Danio rerio: one gene and its partner. Each later gene encodes a partner of the first gene's protein in a complex. Links are inferred from orthologs where the notes say so. Each region holds a gene or a part of one and is shown on either strand. Other genes may lie near its edges. The genes, in order: clspn and chek1.

What was found.
Region 2: the proteins of clspn (region 1) and chek1 are in contact, whole or in part, in a crystal structure (PDB 7AKO), measured with the Homo sapiens proteins. The link is inferred for Danio rerio from reciprocal best matches to the Homo sapiens genes CLSPN and CHEK1. Residues at the interface, in NP_071394.2 of Homo sapiens: Glu938, Leu940, Leu941, Leu943, Cys944, Ser945, Gly946; in NP_001107593.1 of Homo sapiens: Lys53, Lys54, Cys57, Met61, Arg129, Thr153, Val154, Phe155, Arg156, Tyr157, Asn158, Arg160, Glu161, Arg162.

What each region holds. Positions count from the first base shown.
Region 1 is NC_133194.1:50,563,987-50,567,813, forward strand, and holds part of clspn (claspin), read right to left. Parts: intron 3,311-3,827; coding exon 3,146-3,310; intron 2,769-3,145; coding exon 2,712-2,768; intron 2,619-2,711; coding exon 2,546-2,618; intron 1-2,545.
Region 2 is NC_133196.1:24,017,282-24,021,772, forward strand, and holds the start of chek1 (serine/threonine-protein kinase Chk1), read left to right. Parts: upstream 1-1,464; 5' UTR 1,465-1,694; intron 1,695-1,913; 5' UTR 1,914-1,921; coding exon 1,922-1,986; intron 1,987-2,071; coding exon 2,072-2,227; coding exon of another isoform or gene 2,228-2,295; intron 2,296-3,202; coding exon of another isoform or gene 3,203-3,267; intron 3,268-3,381; coding exon of another isoform or gene 3,382-3,395; coding exon 3,396-3,451; intron 3,452-4,491. UniProt on the Homo sapiens protein: Serine/threonine-protein kinase which is required for checkpoint-mediated cell cycle arrest and activation of DNA repair in response to the presence of DNA damage or unreplicated DNA.

The DNA of each region.
Region 1 (3,827 bases):
TCGGATTCGCTTGTAGTATTCTCTTCATAAAGACGCGGCTCTAGATGCTGTGGATTGTTCTGTCTCTACAGATTTGGTAAGTGAGCGACCAGTGCTCTTTGTTTTTTCAGTTTGTTCGTATCAAACTAAGTTAATTATTGCACCGTAACATGTTAGGACCACAACCAAACTTTAACCTCGTGTAGGGTTTTTAACCGCATTTAGTGACCGGAATAACACACGCGGCTTTCTGACGCTACCTGCCGTGTGCATCTAAGTTTCCGGGAAATGCTGAGGTTTTTTTTTCTCTCATTCGCCGTGCGGTATCAAACATTGCATGAAAAATACACGCTTAGAGCAGATCCTCGAATCAAATATCTCGTTTGTTGTGAGGGACATGAATGAATTCCCTGAATGAAAGAGCCAAACTGCAGTTAAAGTCCACCATTTAATCATTTGGCAAATAATTCGACTACAGATGTCCATGTAGGTTAAACACCATCACTTTCTCCTGTGTGTGAGTATTTTGACTGAAACTCGCGCGTGCCCAAATAGACACTCCCACACCCTCCCACTTTTCTTCCTCCGACACTCCCCCCTAAACAGAGCTGGACACGCCCACTTTTCTGACTTTTTCCAAAGTAGAGGTGTAAAAAATACCCTGCTGAAACGAGGGGGTTTCATGGCCCTTTAATAACAAGCAATACATTTTTTTTTTGCTTTATACAGTTTAAGGTGCATATTAGGAAAATAGAGATGGTTCAGAGGGGAAATAGCATGGGGGAAAATGGTTCTTGTGTCTGGCTGCTCATGTACACAGTGCTCTGACGATCTGTGCTACCTCATCAGAATGTGCTACCGGTAGCTCAATCTGTCATATTTCATCTAAAAAAACAGGGTTAGCACATCATGTCTATCAGAATGAACTACCTCCTTAAAGAAAGGTGTAAAAACAGGGGTAGCGCATTTTGTCAGCTTCAAATGTCAATCGGAACGAACTACCACTCTAATAAACAAATTAAATATAAAACTAATGAAATGAAGGCAGTAGTTCACTCTGATGGACAATTAAAGCTGCTATGCCTTTTTCTACATTGTTCAATAGAGTAGTAGTTTTGATAGATATTTGAAGCTGACAAGATGTGCTAAACCTGTTTTGGTAGATGAAACATGACAGATTAAGCTACCGGTGGCAAATTCTGAGAAGGTAGCACAGATCGTCAGAACACTGGTCGTAAATATCCTGATGATATTTACCAGATTAACACAGAATTTGGAGAAACATTAGTGAAGTAGGCTTTAATTGTCATTTCAACTATATACAGTTAGTACACAGTAAAACGAATCAATGTGCCTCCGGGACCAAGATGCTCCATACAACAAATTTACAGACATACATGAACTAAAAAACCTATGAAAGACTAAGAAAACTAAGAAACAACACACTCACAAAGAGCCTATGCAAATGTGCAAGCACAGACAAAGTGAAGAATTTTTCTAATAATTAATTCCTTTAGCACAGTGTTTCTCAACCATGTTTCTGGAGGAGCACCAACTCTGCACATTTTCCATGTCTCTTTAAACAAATCACACCTGATTCAGATCATCAGCTCATTAGCAGAGACTGACAGACCTGTAATGACTGCGACAACGGAGACATCCAAACCATGCAGTGTTGGTCCTCCAACAGAAACACTGATTTAGCAGACCCTTAAGTCCAATATCACAATAAATATACATTTTAAAAGGATTTACACCAAGTTAATTATTCCTAAACATTTAGCAATGATTCTTTCAGCCATCACACGAGTCATTAGACATTATTATAATATTACCATGTTGCTTATTAAACATTTTATAATATCATTAACAATGCTGAAATATGTTATGCTTATCATACTTTACTATATAAAGTTTGCAAGTAACTTCTATTCTTAATCTTTAATAAAAAATGTCCAATAAAAAGGTCATTCTGAAGCATGTTAAGTTAATTTTAATAGTAATTAGGCTATTGTTGTCATCTATGAATTTTCAAATGTACAAGAGAGACTAGAAAAATTGGGGAGCCTAACATAATTATTTTTATTATTATCATTGTTTAATTTTTTATTATTTAAATGGCCAAATTCACACTGAGAAGTTGAATGTGCTTGTCAGTTTGTTATTTGCCTAATAAATAATAATAGACTACAGTTTTTGTGTTTTTTTTTTTTTTTTTTTTTTTACAGTTTTTAACATTTAAGGTGCTTCATACTTGTATGAAAAGTTATACTTATTTCCATATAATGTGGTAAATATAAAATAACAGAATTTTAACTTTAAGTTCTAGATAAATCAAATGTGTTTGTGCTGAATATGTTCATTTATTTTTCTTTTTGTTGAAACAAATGGACATAACTATCTTACTGACCCAAGCTTTTGAACAGTAGTGCAAGATTTGACTGGTTCAACTGCATTTATAACATTTTAAAGGGCAATATTAAAACTAGATGTGTAAATCTAAATTATTTTAAACAGAAATCAAACATTAAAATTGCATGCAGATCAGATGTGACCGCTGACTGACCTCGCACCAGTCTCTGACTCTCACTGTGAAGCTGCTTCATCGCCTCCTTACTGGCTTTCGCTGCTTTCCGCTCCTAAAAACATCATTAGGAAAAACTAATAAATGATTCAGCTACATCACACAATGAACACGATCAATGAGGAAAGCATCATTACAATAATCTCACCTTGCGTTGTGGCTTGTTTTCTTGTTCCTCGTCTCCACTGCACTCAGACAGATGAGGCTGTAAATATTCAATTATAAAACATAACCTTCAGTAAAGCTGATTTGTTTAACCCGTTTAAACAAGGACAACTAAAATTCTGTGCTAACTTTGTCTATTTTTTGCAAATTGTAACTTTTAAAAAAATTTAAAGTAGTGACCGATTTCTATGTTAAAATGAGCAAAACTAGTTTTGCTTACTGACCATTTACACTCATGAAATCAGAATTTTACTACTCATAAATAATGAGTAAATTCACAATATACATTTTGAGTTCCAGTCCTAATTATTGCAGTTAAAATATGCATATAAAATATATGCATAAAAAACTACTTGCAGTTCTGTCTTGGTACTTTGTTTTCACACAAAAAGTCAAACCAAGAAAAAGTTTTCTTACTTTATACTTGGCCTTCTTTTTCACAGCTGATCGGATGGCATCCAGAGACTCTTCCTCTTCTTCTTCAAGCTGATGTTCAGAGTCTTCCTCTAACTGAGCATCAAACAGGTCAGAGTCTCCCAGCAAACAGCCGCTGTCATTCAGAGCTTTGACTGGGGGAGCATCCTTTAAATAGGAAAAAGTCAAAATGAAAATTATTAGGGCTGTGCAATTAAAGGGGCAGTTCACCCAAAAGTGAAAAGTGTGTCATTATTTTCTCTCCCTTTACTTGTTCCAAACCCTTTCAAAATCTACATTTAGTCATTTGACAGATACTTATTTCCAAATTGCCTTACAAGTGAGGAGACATTCAGCAAATCTACATGAGGCAGTGCTAAGAGAATTGTGCTCAGATAATTAGGTGCTAGAGTCCGGGAGAGATTTTTTTTTTTTGGAGAAGAGTCAAGTCTGTTTTATAGGTGGTTGGTCAAGCCCACTTAATTTCTTTCTTTAGTTCAACACTAAAGATACTTTAATAAAGCTGGAAACCTGTATCATTTGATTTCCATATTAGTAATACATACTATGCAGGTCAATGGTTACAGGTTTTCAGCTTTCTTCAGAATATCTTCTTTTGACTTCAACAGAAAAACAAAAGCATAAAGGTTTAGGAAAAATGAGTACATGTTCATTTCTGAGTGAA
Region 2 (4,491 bases), on another chromosome or scaffold:
GTCGCCTCCTGCTTCCTTCTCCTTACAAATATGTCATCTATGTCTCTGGATAAAGGAGGTCTTGCTTTCTGAAATGTACAAATTTGGAGTGAATTCATAAAAGCTCCATTCATATAAATGTCTTTTCTATCTTTCTACCTTCTCTCTTTTACTGAAGACAAACTTATGTTAATGTCTATCTAATGTTGATAGATAGATAGATAGATAGATAGATAGATAGATAGAAAGATAGATAGATAGATAGATAGATAGATAGATAGATAGATAGATAGATAGATAGATAGATAGATAGATAGATAGATAGATAGATAGATTTCTCTTTGGGCACATAAAATTTATGTATAATGAAAATGTTTTACTATAGTTACTATAGCATAATATTATAAAATAGTAGGCCTATCATTGTATACATTAATGTATAGTATATGCCTGTCTGTTATGATATAGTAGGCCTGATTGTAAGGTTATTTATTACTATATGACTATTAGAATTATTATTGTATAATTATTATGACGTTAATATATTCAATATAAAACATGTAACGTTAATAATGGTCAACACAAATAACTCACCAATGCCACTGAATGTGCAGGTCCAGTAATTTCGCGACACCGAATCCTGCTTCTTTGGGCTGTCAACATTGTTAATTTTTTTCTTACCTTATTTATTTAGGTTTACCCTTTAAATGGTTTACTAATTTCTGACACTCAAGACAGCTTTAGAAACGACCGTCTAACACTCAATAAATGAAGTTGTGTTTACGGAACTGAAGTGATGTTGCCATAACAACGAAAAAGGACCACTTCGATACATCAGCCAAAGAGCTTAGAATCACTCTATGCTCTTTGCATCAGCCTATCTGCGCCTCCCATGTGCGCCTATAGTTATGTGATGATGATGATAATTATGTTAGCTTATAATTGTAAAATATTATTTTAAATATATCGAAATGCTAGAAATAAACTACTGCCGTGAACTTTTGCCCACTTATTGACGGGCTTTTATGTTAGAAAATAAAATAAAAGCCCCTACATAAACGGTTTATTTCATGATTATTTCTTGTGTTCTTCTTATTTATAAATAATAACATGAAAACGTAAAACGCATAAAATACTTATCATATTCATCTTTTGCTTATATAGCTAATGTTAAATACTGCTGTTGTATACATTAATATGACAGTTATAAAAAACTAAATCAAAAAATATTTTTACAGTACAATTCAAATGAAAGAAACACAACAGGGATATAAAAATCTTCTTCTTCTTTTTTTTTTATATTTCGCATGTTGTGGTTGTTCTTAATAATTCTATATAACATAATGCTAAAAAGTTTCCCAGTGATGGGTTTCAGCTGGAAGGGCATCCGCTACGTAAAACATGTGCTATATAAGTTGGCGGTTCGTTCCGCTGTGGCGACCCAAGATTGACTATGCCGAAAAGAAAATAATTGAATGAATGAATAACGCAAAAAGTTGTCCCTCATGTTAGCGGTTTAAGCTTTTATTTTGAAAATTCTTTCCTCTTAGCATTTCCGATGATGTCACGTCTCTAGAAGGCGCCAAAGTTTGGACAGACGCTCTTGTATTATTATGTCTGCATAGACACTTATCAAGGGGGTGTGTGATTATAACAACAAATTACATTAACAAACCGCTTCACATGGGACAACGTTACCTCTGATATACGCGAAGGTATGTTTGTTTTAGCTAAATTAAAACTAATATCCGACAGCCCAAAGCTATCAGATTTGACGTTTCACTGTTTACAATTGCCTGCCCCGTAACATTTATCATGTTTACTGTTATATTTATTTACTAAAAACTAACATATGTCCTGTAAGTGTTATAGTCTATTAGCTTGTTATGCTGATTTGCTTTTACAAGGTTGTTCTGACTGACTTATGCCCACAGATTGCATAATGGCTGTGCCTTTTGTTAAAGACTGGGATGTGGTACAAACTCTTGGAGAGGGAGCATATGGAGAGTAAGTGACCAATGCACTTCATATTCGTTCCATCTTGATCAGTTGCAGTCTTAAAATTGTATTAATCTGCTTCAAATCATTGTAGGGTGCGACTGCTGGTCAACAAGAAGACAGAAGAGGCTGTGGCGGTGAAAGTTGTGGACATGGCAAAAGCCAAGGATTGCATCGAGAATGTGAAGAAGGAGGTCTGCATATGCAAGATGCTTTCACACCCCAACATTGTACGTTTCTTTGGGCACAGGAGTGAGGGGACGACACAGTACATCTTTCTGGAGTACTGTAGCGGAGGAGAGCTCTTTGACCGAATAGGTAATTGAACATTTTGGGTTCATTCAATAATTGTTGCATCCTTTTTGTTTTTGAGTCGTGTAGATGAGTCAGGGTTCAACGCTGGGGAGTTTTTCTACTGGTCTGATCGGGCCAATGATTCATATTTTTACTTGCCCTGACAAAAATTTTTACAGGCCCAAAAACAAAAAAGAGAAGTTAATAGCTTTTTTTTAGCCACATATTTTAAATAATGTGACATAAATAATGTCTGTGAATCTAGAAAATAAATATTTATAATGAGCAAAATTCTCAGTGTTGTGCAAACAAAAAGAGCAGTACGGAAAATGTGCAGGTTTTTTATTGCAGTTTGAAATTATATAAAAAATGGTGGCCGACTTGTAATACTGACGGCAAATTGTGCAAAACATTACTTCATTTTTCTCATGTTGTACCCATGTAAATGTCTGCTTCTAAGATGTTAAACACAGACATTTTCTTTTATCCTTATATTTTGATGTTGCTGTCACTTCACCACTGGTTGTTACCAGGTTATGGGGAAAAATATAGCATGCTCAATACACAAAATCAGATAAGAGCAACCAAAAAACAATATGGTGTTTACGACATCACAGAAAAGGTAGCATTTAAAGACTTAAAAACACAAACTTAAAATGCTTGCATTTGACCAATAATCGCAGGTCAATTAAGCTTTAGTGACAAGGCAGCACTTTCCCAATCGTAATGATCCTGTCTACTATCCCAAGTGTCTCTCACGCTGGCCCCGGGCCATCAGGCAGTCCTTGTTGTTGAGCCCTGTGAGTAAATCAACTGTAAAAAAAACAAATGTTCCCATCCTTTGCTTTCTTGTCAGAATTGATTTATTAAAATAAAGGCATTAAAATACCTAAAATTTATCTAAAGTATATTTTGTCAATCTTTCTGACAGAACCGGATGTTGGGATGCCAGAAAAGGAGGCGCACAGGTTTTTTCAGCAGCTGATAGCTGGTGTGGTAAGATTTGTGATCTTTTTTTTTTTTTTTTTTTTTTTTTTTATGGTGTATTTTGAGAACCATTTACTCTTCAAAGTTGACTTTGTTGTGAAACTTGCTCCATCTCACTTACAGGAATATCTTCACAGTGTTGGGATTACACATCGTGACATAAAGCCTGAGAATATTCTTCTTGATGATAAAGGTACGTCTGAATGGTATTTTTATACAGGATAAAATGCAATGTTCCACATGGTGTTCGCGGGGTCTTAAAGTCCTAAAATGTTTTAAATTTCCAAAGCTAAATGTTAGGCCATAAAGTCTTTAATCTATTAAAATATTGTGTTGTAGGTCTTAAATCTTTTTAAACAGGTCTTAATTTTCAGTTGTTTATAAATAGTTACCCAATCTGGCCATTAACATCCATATAATCACCAACAATCCATCTTTTATTTACAAATGTCCTGTTTAACTCCATTTACCATAATTGTTTAATTATTTTCCTAATAATAATAATTATTATTATTTAAAAGTTCCACTTGTATTTACTGCTTAGGACACTAACCTGGATGGACTGTTTTGCATACATTTAGTTTATTATAATAACTTTTAAAACATTTGTCCATTTTTCAGAAAGTCTATGTTGAAAAAAAGAGTGTTTGCAGCTAGAACTTGCTTGTTTTGACACAATATTTTGCTAATAGATATTTAAATTTGTTATTCAATTATCATAGTATTATTAAATTATATAATTTTTTATAGTGCAAAAATAAATATTTTTTTTTATCTGGGCCATTTAAAAAATTCTTTAGGGTTTAGCCCTGTATGAGTCTAAAATTTGTACATAATGGTCAAAATGTCTTAAAAAGTCTTAAATTTAACTTGGTGAAACCTGCAGAAGTTCCAGCTTCACAGATAAATTCAGCAGCAATATCCATGACACAAACACACACAGAAAAGCATTTTATTATCGATGTGCTGATATGAAATTGCAATATAGTCTGCTTTGGAGAGCTGGGGGTCTGTTTGGATTGTCAAATAAATTAATAAGCAAAATAAACAGTCCAGTAAAATTAAAAATGTACTCAAATTAAACTGGGCACATTACTATAGTAGTAGATCAATACAGACTAAACTAACATAAACTTAATATTTTTCAAATATTGTTTTACACAGTAGTCTATGGCATGATCATATTTTGGGGTCTGTGACATCTACAAGAATAAACATCTGTGTTGTAGTGGA